2 linked regions of the Styela clava genome follow. The protein of the gene in region 2 interacts with the protein of the main gene of each other region in a pairwise test. Links are inferred from orthologs where the notes say so. Each region holds a gene or a part of one and is shown on either strand. Other genes may lie near its edges.

Region 1 (8,221 bases), on a different chromosome or scaffold from region 2:
ATTGAATAATGTTGCTACTTCTTGTGGTGAATGACGCTTTCAAATTCCATTCCCTAAGAACTAAAAAACATACCATCATCTTTCAATAACCGAGTGTGAAAGAAAATATACAACCCATCTTTATTACGATATGTATATATCAAATTACAACTGAAACAACCATATTATGCATATTAAATACATAAGAAACACAAAAACCAACCATCTATATTGCCGCTGGAAAATCAGCAGTGAACACCTCTAAAAATACTGCAGCACCATATATAAATAAGAAGCGTTGAGTTATGCAACTATTAAGTAAGGTTATAAAGAAAAGAACCAGAATAATATAATGTTGATAAATTACTTAACTAATAAAGATATATCTAAACGATTGACTACATGAAGGATAATCTAGTCTAGAGAATTATAGGCAGAAAATTAATCGCCACGTTTGTGAATGATCTCAAGTGCTAATTGCTTTTGAAAAATATCTAATTTAAAAAAAATACTGGTTCTGCACTGGGATGACCAAAACCGAATATTTCACTATTTCGAATATATCCTGGGAAAATATCTTCGACTATGGTATACATTCAAAATTGGGGCTAATTTATTGTGGAAAATTACATAAATATAAAGGTCATTAGTTTATCTGACCGCTTAAAATATCTAATTTTGAAATAAAAATACTGTCAATTATTCCTAAATATATATGAATTTTGAATGTAATCGAATATTAGATTCGCTTTGGACATCCCTGGATCAGCAGGTCAGATGGTTGACATACCTTACAAATCAGATACCGCTATCTAGTCACCGAACAAGAGGTTGTGGTCCACCATACCCTAAAGCCATCGACTTTTATATACTCTGAAAAGTCCCAACTAATTAAAGAAGGATGATTATACTCAAGTGTACTTATGAGAAATGGGCAAAGAAAATCCTTTGGAGTGGTTGCTTTTGATCACAATAAAGTAAAGAATATGGCAACGAAGACTTCCAGAAAATGATAAATTTCTGATATCTCTAAATGATTGTTTACTGGCGAAAAATCTGTTGAAATAGCTTGCAATTGTCTACATTAACCAAATTTATTATACCAAGCATGCTTAACAATAATACGTAAAAAGAAATCCTCAGAATTCTTGATCCATGGCTTTCATTAAAATTCCCATGGGAGTGGTCTTAAGGCCAACAGATTCCACTTTATTATTTACTTTGTTTTTTAAATTTCTCATCCGCAATGATGCATGAAGAAGAATACCTTTTAATAAAAAAAAAATATATAAATATACAAATGATTAATTAAAGATCGAAGCAAGCCCAATGAAAGTTTTGAAATCAATCACTAAAAAAACGGATATTCTACTGGAATATTTCACCTAAAAAATAATAAAAAGGATAAAAATATAAATTTGAACTTACAGAACATTGGTAATGCAATTCCAAATATGAACACGAGTACAGATCCCAACGCATACATCAGCATAGTAGAAACTGTGATAATCATCCCAATGACAACGCCAGGATATTTCCTTTTAAAATCTCGAATTTCAGCCCTGCTAAAAATGATCAGAAAAGCAATGTTTTATTTACAGAGCAATTTAACATTGTAGGTTATTGTTTAAACCAGTAGTTCTAAATCAATGGTAAATTTAACCATTAGGAAATATTCATTTTTTATACTACTAGTTTCATTTTTTGCATGTTATCAAACACTTTGTACATCTGTTATTATACTCTCATTGCAAGATACAGGTCAGCCTAGCCTACTTTTTTGTATAATATTGACGATGTGCCAAAATGGGAAGTTTGTACAATCGACTAAAAAGACTTGTTAAAGCAATGCAGTGAAATTACCTATTTGAAGCAACATACAGTGTCCCTGCAAATGTACCGCCCACCAAAATTCCGCCGAGTATCATTTCGTATGGTCTGACATAACTGAAAGAATTTGAGTACAATTTAAGATACTAGGATAAAATTTACATATTTATTTCAGGAGGAACGCCTAATATTACGGAAAACCACAACCTCTCGTCCAGTGACCAGTCTATGTTAGGCATGGGATTAATTAGCCAGTTATTGTTTGTCTTCAGATGCATCAGCCATCAACTGAACAGTGGAGCAAGCAGTAACTCACCCTGCGTGGATAGGAATCTAGAAATCCTCTCCCACATAATTCGAACCTGCGAATTCACACAAGGTAATCAAAGTGGCGGTAGCAAGCGTATTCTTAACGTCTAGCACGATGTGCCTCACTGCCGGGCAGAGCGTTGATGACAATAACATCTGCAATACCCTAGTACCCTATAACAGGGCTACTCAACTATTTTTACCGAAGATCCGCATACAGAACTTCAAAAATATTTGGGTCCGGTCTTTCCAGAAATTATATTTCGGCATCTTTAAACACGCACTTTCTCGGTCGACTAATGATTATAAGCTAATCAAGATTGTTTATTATGGTGTTATAGTTCCTCCCCATATATATTTAAATCTATATAAGTGATTTTATAAAAGGAAACTTCAAAAGTGGGGCTAATGATCCAAAATAAAGAATTAGACGCGGTTCGAATTGAATACCCGAAAGGTCCGGATTCGGACCGCGGTCCGCCAGTTGAGTAGCCCTGCCCTATAATATCATGTTAATACTTCATACTGATAGTTATGGGAGAATCAAAATATATATACGATTTTACATGAAAGTGTTGGAAAGCCTGAAAAAATCAAAACATTTCGAGTTGTTAAATGTACACCACATTTCAAAGTCAAATTTTTATTCCTACTGATTAAAATAGAAAATTGATATTAGAAAAAAACAATAATATTGCTATTACCCAACGATCAAAAATATCACAAGTGCAGATATCATGTAGTTCGTTTGATAATACAATAAATTATTCACGATTCTGTAATTCCATTTTTCTTTATTCTGATAATCGGGAAGCCCAAACCTTGCAGACCCAAGAAGATAATCTTGAAAGGTACGAATAGGAGCAAACTGTACATCATTCCCTGCCATTTTGAGTTTTTATTTTTGTCTTAATTTAAGTAAAAACCTGGAAAAATGACAAAAACTGTAACACAATTCACAAATTCCATTTAGAGAGAAATGCTTATAAACATGCACAAATTAGGGATGTTCACAGCCAACAGGAAGGCCCTCTCAGAGTCTCAGGAAGTTAAAAAAAAAACGTTTTTTCACTCAAAAATAAGCTCAAATGTTTTGAATTTTCGTACCACTTGGTTGAACATCCCTGAAAGAACAAACCAGATTAGCCCAAAGAAAATCAAATTTTCTAGAAAACTTAAGGTGAGCAACATAATTCTTGTTGTCACCCCAAAATCACGATAAAAGCCATTATGATTTGGTTTACATGATGTACTTATAATGCAACTAGTAAATTATTTTTATTGTCTGTATCTTTCCAAAATGACTGTTGAATAACATTTTTGAGCATTGCTTAAACTTCCGATTCTAAGGCAGGCAATCACCACCGGCAATCGAATGAGATTACTACCAGATAATTGCCAGGCTGTAATAAAAAAGGGCCTAATGTATTAGGTTACCGGTGGTTTGAGTATGTTCGAGTTTCTGGCAAAAACATATACAATTTCTTACAAAAAAATTCTAGCTTATAATAGTATCAAGCCAGTAGCATATATCATGCTAACACAAAATTCTCCACCACAATTTCCTAGCTATGTACAGAAAAACCACAAAAAATAATCAAAGCGTTATTGAAACAAGCTTCACAAGGCATTAATAATTTATGCATAAACCATTCCGACAGAAATCGAAAATACGAGAGTGTGAAAGAAATAACCTATTGATACCATGTTCATCTTTACATCAACAAATGACTTTTAACGCAATATCTCATTAATAAATCGGTTTCTCACTATATACAACACCCAGAAAAACACTAATTTATTAGTACTAAAAATACTGTAACTGATACAGTAAATTTATTCCAAACTATCATCAATATGTATCAACAACTATATAGGCCTCAGCCAATCAGTCTTGCCTATAACTTGTAATGTTTGCAATATCAGTGAAGACTCAGACCTTGCATGGGCGTGAAAAATAGGTTTATTACATACCCACAAAGTACCCACATTTTGGCACCGCTTGAGAATAAGTACATATACCCAATAAAATCTACATAATTCAATGTGTTGCACAAACCAACATAATTTAATATTTCCACAGGGGAACTTGGTTATATAACACATAAAAATATTAAATAAATGTGTATCAGATCAGTTTGTTGAATTGAAGTGATACATATTCACTAAATAGGAATGCAATGCACAAGAACAGGACCACAATCAAAAACAATACACAAGTTCCTTACAATTAACATTGATCTGTAATGCATAACAGCAATCCACCATTTAAATGACATCAAAGCACTTGATTTCTGATCAAAAATGAATAGAAATACATCTGAATTTCCAGTTATATTGAAGGCTATGTGTCTCGCATGCTCATGATTTGATCTAATTGTAGCACACAATGGAATAGGACAAGGGCACATATCATTTCCATTTCCAGCCTTGCTTCCATTTATCGGCTTGACTTCCAGTATTTGCCGCCCGAGCTCGTGGTGGCATCATATCAAGAAGCAATTGGCGTTCTTCTGGCTTCAATGAACTGGTATTAAATGGAAAAGGCAGCGTTGTTGATGATCTTGATTGACTTTGAGGACGAAATCCCCCACTTGAACTACCAGAACTTGTGTTAGAGCGTTGTTGTTGGTACTCCTGTTGAGCTCTTTGAAGTATTTTCTGATGACGACGCAACTGTTCTTCTTGAAGTTTCTTCAATTGTGCTTGCTGTTGTTGCAGTTGTGTTGCCGCGGCTACAACAGCGGCAGTCAGGCTTTGATTGGTGACCTGGGCAGATTGACTGGCTTGAGTCTGTTGCATCTGCGCTTGTTGTTCCTGCATCCTCTGTTCAATTTCCTGTTCTTGCTGCAAAGCTTTGACGAAAGCAGTTTTCAGTCGATTGGTGTGTTCAGCCTTGAGTGCCTTTTTCTGATTAGTATTGACACAACTCAAGCATATAACCTCATCAGGTTTATCTTTTACTGCTTTCCAAAGTGGACTGAAATCTTTTTTGCACTGCATGCAAATATGCGGAACAGGAATGTTTTCTTCTCTCTCTTTTTCTTCCTTGCGCAAATTTTTATTTTGCAAATGTTGAATCTTATTGACGACTTGCTCCAAACCCATCAAGCATATAAACTCATTGCTTGCAGCACTTGGTAAGAATGTAATTTCAGGTGGAGGTGGTTTAGGCGGAGGAATTTCAAGAAGTGTTTTTTCAAGCTGTTTACGAAGAGCAAGCTTCGCAGCCGCCTGTTGTTGTTTATAAGACATTGCAGGAGCAATGGGTCGTTTTTGCTGCTGCTGTAAAGCTTTTTGCTGTTGTAATAAAAATTGCTGCATATTAGCTGCCAAGTCACCTTGTCCAAGAAGTAATGGATTATTGCCATGTGAGCCACGCAACAGATTTCCCGCTTGCATAAGCTGAGGCATTTGCATCATGGCCGCGAGCGCATTGCGATTTGCTTGTAATTGAGCACTGCTAGTTCCACTGCTACTACTACTAGAACTTGATGTTTTATATCCTTGCGATTTCTGCGATGAGATAGTGCTCGAAGATTTTTGCTTCGAAGAATAGTTTGTAGAAACATTGGTGCTACGTTGATTGCTAGACGAACTGTATTGAGAAGGTGTTGTGCTAGGTTTTGTGCTTGCGACATTTGTAGTCGACTGTTGATATTTTGAAAGTTGACTTTGCCGCAGTTTTTTTAGTAGTACCAACTTGGCTTCTTCTCTTCGAACAGAGTCACGAAGTTGTCGAATGCGACTCTCTTGCGTTTTATGCATTCTTGCAAGCTTTATCAATGTTTCTGTTTTGCTATTCTTTCCTGGACTAAGTCCAAGTTCATCATCACTAACAACAATTACATCAGCATCTCCAGTATCAGCAATTATAATATCAGTGATACCATCAACGTCAGATTTTTTGACCACAACATTTTCTTTATCTTCATTTGGCTCCTTGGATTTGCTCAAGTCAACAATACTTTCTACGGATTTGTCAGTCATTTCAATATCAGTCATTTCTGGCTTCTTATTGTCTTCAACTTCCTTTTCTTTCTTCTCTAAGTTTGTAACTTCATCTAGTAATGGTTTTGCCTTCGCAACGGTAGATTCAGTTTCCAGCACTTTTTCAGTTTCTGGATTTGATTTTGCAATTATTTCTGAATCGTTATCATTTTGTTCCGGTTTGGAAATATCAGAATCCAAGAATCCTTCCTCTGTATCAACAGTTTGATCCTGATTGTTATCCACATCCACTTCTTCTACTTTCATTCTTTTTGCGTCCTCTTCTGGATCACCAGAATTGCTATCATCCTCTAATTTTCGTTTCATAGATTCTGCCAATTTCTTTTCATCAGTTTTATTCTGCTCAACTTCTACTTCTGCATTTTTGTCTACATCATCTTGTTGCGAAGGTTTTTCTAAATCGTGTGTAACATCTTGAACTTCACGACTTTCTTCGAGCGGAATTGCCGGTTCAATTTGTGATTTTTGTTCCTTTTCTCCTGGGCCATCTATCCCTTTTTCAGGTTCCGACATGATGCCCGAAACTATGGGCAAAATGTCCAAATATCAGTATTAAAATCCCAATAATTTTAAATTAGAAGATGAATATTCTATAATTATCAAAATCATAACTTGATGGATGAACTATGACACTATATGTGGGAGGGAATGCAGGGGAGAAGACATGGTCTACATGGAAATAGATAAATCAACTTTTCCTAATATTAGAATCACCCTATATGAGCCCAATTCAAGTATTATCTCTAAAAATTCACTGGTTACCATTTATTTTTAACGAATACTGAATAGTCGAGTAAAGAATATTTTCAATATACAACAGGAGTCTGGAACATGCAGACATGGAAGGTCGATACTCCTATTGTAAATAAATAAGAAACATTAAGTCTGTTAAGAAGTCTGTAACATAGCGTGTTTTTTTCTCTGTTGTACTTCATCGTAATCGCTGATTGTTTGGGCAATGCGGTCGTTTCGACGATCGACATCACAGATGTATATTTTTTCCTCTGTAAATCCGATTATTTTTTCCTGAGGAATTCAATGATGACGTTTTTAGATTGCGCTTCTTTTTTTGCGTAGTATTTGCGCAACTTCATTTTACTGTATTTTTACCAATATTGACGGACAACAATGTCCAGACATCCCCCAAAGGAGGGGGGTTCATTCATCGGCAAAATGGGATTCTATGAAACAAGACAATGTCTCTCAATCTGAAAAGTGCGCCGTACTCTCATGGGACCTTAATTGTATTTTTCACTGAATCATCTTGAATGCTACGCAATATCTTTTGTGTTTTTCTATGGTGTTCGTGTTATTTTCGTATTAAATGGATAACTCTGCAATTTGTGATTGTGTGAATCCTGAATGTTACTTTTATTTAAAATAGTGAATAAATAAATCAGCATTTCGACAGTCATGAGGCTAGATGACACTACATCTGTATATAGAGCATTTCTTGAATGATATTTACATTGAGGATTAACAATATTAAAACTAATTAATACAGTAATAGTTTAACTTATACTATAAGACAAGTTCAGGCAAAATCAGAGAGCAAACATCAGTCACAATACTGCAATAAGTTCCAAGTTAGGAATACAACATGCGGACATATTGACATAAACCAACACGACAGTCCGAGAGTAATATCAGAATATTGGTGTTGGACCTAATAAAATTATGATTGAAATAAACCTTAAATTTATTCCTGTAAGTTACGGATATTGTAGTACAGGTACTTACGGTAGGTACGGTAGGTATACGGCGCTATTAAGATTTTGTCTAAACAGACACAACATATATATTTGGGTAGAGATACCGTAATCACCATAGCCGAAGCTGGGAAATATTCACTCAAAACCTCTTGAACGTGCACAACCTAAACTTCTGATTCACGGACCCTGGATTTGCTCTTCAATTCGATATGGCAAAAGACAAACAAATGGCAATCGGAAGGGTTTTTACGTGAAAAAGGGCCAATCATGCAGCTCTCGGGCGCCGCATATTGAATAAGTATAAGTATAAAGAATATTGAACTCAAAAGAATATAAAAGAATATTGAACTCAAATCGTTTCAATCAACAAAAACATTATC
Region 2 (7,292 bases):
AAAAATACAGAAATGTGTAAATATCCCTCTCTTATTTATCTATAATGTATATAAATTGCTTCCATTCTTAAACCAATGATGTTGAGTAAATATATCTTTAATGATTGGTGTTCGTAATAGGGTCATTCCAAGCAAAAGTTGAATTCCATAAATTTTTTTAAATGTGCAGTGAAAGTAATTTTTTGTATTTTTTATATAAAAGGCATTGGAATTTTATTAAACTGCATTCTTTTTACCCAAAAAGATAAAATTTCACCCAGGTTTTTGATGGTATATAAAAAATGGCCTAAAATGTAGAAATTTCGGTATAATTGACATATTTTCTGATGATTCGTGACACAAAGTGTTTGATTGTGTGATACAGTTATTTCATATGAAATAGACGCACTGAATTTAAGTTAATAAAGTTTGAATGTTTGCAGTGCTGTAGGACATTTCTTCACCCGTTTAACGATTTATTACCAGAATTTTAAGAGATGATAAGGCCGCTGTTCCGAAGTGGAAAAATGTCATGCAGTGTCACGTCCTGTAGTGTCACATACAATATGCACATTATTGGCATGGATTTACAGTGTTACATCAAGTAACTTGAGCACATAGAGGGGTCATTCAGCTACTGCACCAGAAAATATTACGGGCTCCTGCTGTACCATCACAAAAATTTACAGCACAACACAATGTACTGTTAATGCATGGTGGATTTGCCGTCCTGTAGTGTCACGCTATATTTTACTATATTTTTTATATCCACTAAGTAAGTCTTGGATGTAACTTTTGTGCAATTTTTTTCATATTCAATAAAGCAACTGATTGGACAATGAAACAAAACATGTAGCTGAAAATGTAAAAATATATTGCATCTAACAACATGCAAAATTTCTGGAATTGTCTTGCAGTGTCACTTGGGATAGCCCAATATACATATTAGAATATTTTTGCATTGTAGAATTCCAATATGCAAATTCATTTTAAACACACTAATCTGATATCACAGCAAGACCACAATATATGCAAAATTTTACTCATATTCAGCATCAAGTATGACTCAAAAACAAAGATGGGAAATTTCACTACAAGATGACAGTAATTAGGATTATCTAATTGCTCAAAAACTGTTAATAACACATAATTCAGTTTTGTCAATAATTTTTCGTGACGTATCCTGATATATTCCGCAAACGGTACTGCCGTAGTGTGTGTACTAGGTTAGGTGATAATTTTCATTCCAATTTTCCTTATTTTAGTTTTATTATGAGTTGAGGACTGTTTCAGACTTTATAAGCAACTTGATGTAAAGTAGGCAAACAAAATTAGTTACATCCATATTAGTACAAACACTTCTGAAGCGCCAAACAAACAACAAAAGAATACAATGCCCAACTACATCCTGCGTCAAGTCTACAGCTTTGTTTCAAAATATTGAGAACTATTATAAATATAGTGAGAGATACATGAAAAACACATAATTTTGAACAATTTGATGCAAATGGACAATTAGCTCGATGATAAACTCACTTGATTCTCACTTTTAAAGTATGATATACAGAGTAATGCTCCAAGGCAGTTCTCAATTTTTTTTTTGCTCGCGGCGCATTTAGAAAAAGAAATTTTTTGTGCCATACAGTTTGAGAAACGCTGCTCCAAGAGAAAAATAATGTTGATTATGATAAAGATACAATCTGAATCCAACAGAATTGAAACATTCCAACCGTTGAAAGTGCATGTCGACGATATGGCATTGGTGCCAAACTCAAAATAACATGATTAATATTTGATCCATCCGCTGAAGTATTATTAAATAATCAAAGAAATGGCAAGTGCTAAATCAGTCATCTTCAAATAACTTCTTCAACCGAGATGCTGTTAATCAATCTTACTTATGAATAACCTGACTCATGTCCCAGATTTTCACAACACGGTCTGAACCGCTTGTTGCAAGACAAAGTTTCTTCCAGTCCGGAGTTGCTGCAACCACATTATGCTTCAGCTCATGAAAAGTTGCAGTTGGTGCCTTGTCTGATTCAGGAATGGAGTCGAAACATGCATCACACACTCTGACTTCAAATTCAAAGCCCATAAAAGGAATTGTTGTGCGTTTTGTGCTACATTTTGCACATACTGCCGTGCCACATTTTCTGCAATGATGTTGTCTCAGACCAACAGTTTTTTCGTTCCACATTTGACGAAAATTCCAGAAAAAGGGGGTTTTGCACTTTTGACATTGATCTTTTTCTTCCCATACTGGTGTTTCTTGTCGTTTGATATCCATGTTCCAAATAACCAAAGATCCATCGTAACTCATAGAAACCAACTGTTGTGTACTGGCAGAGTAATGAATTGACATGACCTTTGACTCATGACCCTGGAGTTCAAAAGCCGTCCCTTTTTTGCTTCCTATATCCCACATGATTATAGATTTATCTGAACTTCCAGAATACAGAATTTGTGCAGCACTGTCCCAGAACAAGGTATTTACAGCACCAGAATGTCCTTTCAGAGAATTTATTGATTTGCAGTCATTCTTATCAATTTGTAAAATAGGGATTTCCCCATTAGAGAGACCACAGAAAACATAATTAGATCTGACATCAAACTGTAAGCAAATTGGCACGGAAGCAACTTGGTGAGCTCCCATTTTTTGACCATTTTGTGTCCAGTACCAAGTAAGCCATCTATCTTTTGCACAAGTTACAAGAATTTCTTTTTCAACGCAGAAAACCACACTTGTGACTTGTTTTTGATGAGCATCGTATTTTCTTTGATGGTAAATTGAATTGTAATCTTCAGCAACACGATACTCTTCAACAGAACCGCTTTGTAAGCCAATAAATAGTTGCTTTGTTGAAGGTGAAAAACACATTGAAGAACATGGTGCTGTTAAAAAATGGCAAACACTTGGCCAGTATTGTCCCGTTTCTCTTTTGAGCCAGATACGTACAGAACGATCTTCACTCACTGTTATGACTCCGTCTTCAGATGGCGTAAGAACCAACATAGGAACAACATCATGGTTCTCATCTTCTATTCGACCGATGAGATTTGGTTTCCGCTGAGTTGGTTTGGTTTTAATTTCAGCTGCCATTTTAGCAGGGCTGTTACAGTTCTAAAATGACTAATCCAGTAAGCTTAGGCAATCCACGAATGTCATATATACTAAACCGAAAAAAAAATATGTGGTTATAAATACTATCAGCAAAGCTGCACCACAGCATAAGCTATATCTAACTATTAGGGACATTATTGAAATCAGAGAACATACCGGTACCGATACCGTACCAATACGTTACCGTATAGGCTATTTCGACTGGTAAAGTTATATGAATAAAATTCGAGGCTAACAAAATAATTCAGGTAATAGGGCTTAACTAAATCAAGGCTATGTAGGCCTATAACTTGATTAAACTAAAAAAAGTTATAAAAAAGGTAACGTCGTGCTACTGACTGGTCTAAGCAGTTAAGTTACGGTACCGGTACGGAAAAATTTCGGATATAATTTTCATAGTCAAAGTGAGTTCTGGAGCTATACTGGTACCGGTACAGGTAGCTTAGTACGGCCCTGTTTTAATATTCGTTGTTCTGTTACATTTTCTGTCCCTAGTCAGCTATTACAACGCTATTTTCAGACTTCGGTTTGCCGTACATATTGTTCTCACAGTAAATTGCAGGTGAAGCGTAAAAACAAAATAGCTTTAACGAGATCGGTCCGTATTTTACAAAAAAGATTAGTGACATCATATCACAAGACCAGACGATCATGTCTTGTTTATGCATCCCGGAATCCGTAACGTTATCCAGTTAACGCGACAAGCTGCAGTGCGCGAAACGGCGTCTCACTGGGGTAGCGCAAATTATATCGATCTCCTCGCGATCAGTTACATCAATGACAATGTCATTGGTTACATAGAGTTGAGGAGGTTCCATTACATTTGAACCCACGTACATTTGAACCATGACAATTGCACCTGCATACTATTGCACCTATGGAAATTTTTTGTGTTTTACGGATATTTGAACCCATACTAACCTAACCCATGGGTTTTAGCACCCGCATATAGATTAAACCCGCGGATATACACATGGGTTCAAATGTACATGGGTTCAAATGTACGGTCACCAGTTGAGGACTCCAGTTGAGATTCGCGACAGAAAGCCACAGTAAGGTTACGCACGGCATTTTATCATTTATACTTCTAATTTTTGGACACGTAGTGGACATAGCGATCGTTTCAATATTATGTTGTTGTTGTTCTTAGTGTCCTTGTTCTTTGACACGTTTTGAAGAAATCGCTTTTCATTTCGAATACTGGACCAATTGCTTTGAAATTTTCAGTGGTTGAAGATAAAATTTTTCTTCAGAAGGCTATTACTTTTGTGTTTTTGCTATGACGTCATCAAAATTATTCCCACTGGGTGGCGCTACGTGTCCATATATTTGAGCATAGCTCTCTTGTTATTGGACACGTAGTGGACATAACGATCGTTTCAATATTATGTTGTTCTTATTGTTATTTGACACATAATAATACACCTAGTGGAAATATTAAAAAAACGCTTTTCTCTTCGAATACAGGACCAATTGCTTTGAAATTTTCAGTGGTTGAAGATAAAATTTTTCTCCAGAAGGCTATTACTTTTATTCATTTTAAATATACCTGTTAGCTCTGTGAGATTTGTTTTTGTTTACTATGACGTCATTAAACGTTCTGTGAACATCGGACGCCATTTTGTGTCCTACTGTACTGCTTCACTTTGTGTGAATATATTTGTAGACTGTGATCTGACGGTACGGTACACCGTACTGTACTGCGAACAGACGTGTCCATATATTTGGGCGTAGCTCTCTTGTTGTTATTATTATTATTTGTCTCCAGTGGCGGCGCGTGGTCATTTTGACAACCGGGGCAAGCTACGGCGGGACCAGGTCACCCCCATCTACGGGGACAGGATGAGCGCTGTAAGTTCTCCCATCATTTTATGAGTATAAAAACCATTCCATCGGTAACAACCAATCGGCAAAAGCGACAATTTTTAACGATAAGAAAGTGTCTTTAAAACCGGTCCGAGTCAAGGGATTAATAAATAAAGACATAGTTTATTTTGAAACCTCTTTCAAAAGGAAAGGCAATAATTACCCAGATAAATACAATGACATATTAACAGAAACTTCGGGAAAGCAGACAAAACCTAAAATAAAGTTTAAAACGTTACTATGAAGAAATGAAAGATAATGCAAAGATAAGGACATGCTTCGCTCACTCATAGATATATATGCTGCTAGACTTCTACTGCTTGAACATATATGCAACACGCCGCGGTTTCTTGGAAGCAAAATGCTCAATAACGCGCTGATTAAAGTCATGCATCCCAGAAATAACGTCTGTGAATGGATAAAACAGCCAAGGAATTTAATCTATCTTGCTTCATTGTGTTTCTGAGATACGTTTTAATACGCTTCAGCGTGCTGAATGTTCGCTCTGCGTCGGCGGAAGAAATAAGCGTCGTCAAAATGATGTCCAGAAATTTTGCAGACGCCGCAAAGGTAGTTACTAGAGTGTTATCTATGATGAACCCATAGAGCGCGCAAGTTGATGTGATGTTCAAAAAAGTTTGATTGGTGTAAATACATCGCAATTCATTTTCCAATTTACCCACGTTTATCATGGGGTAAAATTTGGAGACAGTAGCCCACAAATGGATGGGAAATTGACGTGTAAATTTTGAAAAATTTTTGGGGTTCATCGAAGAGAACGCGGCAAGGTGTTCAGTGCGCAGACGATCGCCTATATGATTCACCAGAATGTCACAGCATTCCTTTGCAGACAAAATCAAACGCTGCGTTGTTTGCCCGCGGCGTAAAGAAGCACTCCATGTGTCGTCGTATTTTATTGTTTCCCGGATACGAGATACAGCATCGCAGAAGTCTGAAATACACGACTGCACAGACGCTCCATCCATTAGCCTTGACTACAATGCGCCGTATAATACATTCACGTGATAGAATATTGTTGAGAAAAAAGCGAGAAAAAATGAAAACTCACCATCTTCTAGCAGACGCTTTAGACCTGCCGCCTCCCTCACGGAGCGTTCGTCCCAAACCGGAGAGCTCTGAATGCCATTGAAACACTCAATGAGCTCAGACCTAATTTCGGACACGCCCTGCACCACGCGTAATTGGAAGTTCCAACGTGTTGGTGCACAAGCTGGGAGACGGCGGCTACATATCTGGCGAAGGAGGTCAGAGCGCTTCGGCGAAACGGAAAAAAATGAAGAAAACCCCGAAACATTTGCAAAAAATATACGGACGAGAGGGGTATCAAGACACATATTTTTAATAACGAGGTTAAATTGGTGTGCATAACAATGTAAAAAATGCGCATGAGGAAAATCTTCTTTTATATAAACTTGAACACCATGTTTCGACCCACTCATGACTGCCCCGCCGTCATGAGTTTGAGCTATCAATTTTGACTTCGCGTTGTAAGGCTGTAACACTCCTTTCAGTACAGCCGATATCCCACAAGCCGTGCGATCAACGATTGGTACAAAGCTGTGAAATCTCTCGGTAGGTTTACCATCTTTCACAAACCGAAAAATCACAGCCAGTTGGGAAACGCACGTGATGTCAGTTGTCTCGTCAGACTGAATCGAAAGGAACTGGCAATTCTCAATTTCCAGAGCCAAATGTTGTAAATAAATTTTATACATTGAGTCGAGCAAATCATTCTGGATATCCTTAGATGTCCCTTTCGAAACAGTTGCGGCATCAAGATGATCTCTCAATACTGTATCTAGGGATGCGGTGTATTCCACCATATCCAAAAATACCCCTCTATTAGAAGAGCCAGCCCGTTCATCGTGCCCACGGAGGGACAGCTCGTGACAACCAATGAACTTCAAAACATCTATCAATCGACCGAGAACATGGCGGTTTTTCTCGACGTTTTGGTTGTGCCGACGAATAGAAACCGCGCGTCCTTCATCCAACTGTGCTGCAATATTAACATTTCCGAATGTTAGGTATTTTACTGCATTGTCCAGATGCAGACCAAATTTACACCAACGTGAGTCACGGGCGGTAGCAAAAAGTAGGCAATAAAAACAAAAAAGTGCATTTTTGTCCTCGCTGTAACACAACCATTCGTGTTTTTTATACCAAGTTTCTGCGCAGAATGTACGCCGACGCTTTCCTCCGTCATGGGATTGTTCCAGTGAACAATTTTTTGGTTGATAAGGCCCAAGACGTTGTACCTCTAATTTTTGTTCCAGCGGCAGCTGCGAAAACGGAGTGCGAA

Evidence for each region. The genes of interacting proteins can lie anywhere in the genome.
Region 1: the proteins of WD repeat and FYVE domain-containing protein 2-like (region 2) and PRA1 family protein 3-like interact in a two-hybrid assay, tested with the Caenorhabditis elegans proteins (2 studies listed by BioGRID). The link is inferred for Styela clava from reciprocal best matches to the Caenorhabditis elegans genes wdfy-2 and praf-3.

Annotation. Positions count from the first base shown.
Region 1 is NC_135255.1:9,619,941-9,628,161, forward strand, and holds PRA1 family protein 3-like, read right to left. Parts: upstream 3,008-8,221; coding exon 2,823-3,007; intron 1,927-2,822; coding exon 1,843-1,926; intron 1,545-1,842; coding exon 1,408-1,544; intron 1,247-1,407; coding exon 1,119-1,246; 3' UTR 97-1,118; downstream 1-96. Other genes in the region: uncharacterized protein LOC120330723, read right to left, coding at 4,531-6,642.
Region 2 is NC_135254.1:8,516,913-8,524,204, forward strand, and holds the start of WD repeat and FYVE domain-containing protein 2-like, read right to left. Parts: upstream 3,153-7,292; 5' UTR 3,083-3,152; coding exon 1,874-3,082; 3' UTR 1-1,873. UniProt on the Caenorhabditis elegans protein: Plays a role in coelomocyte endocytosis.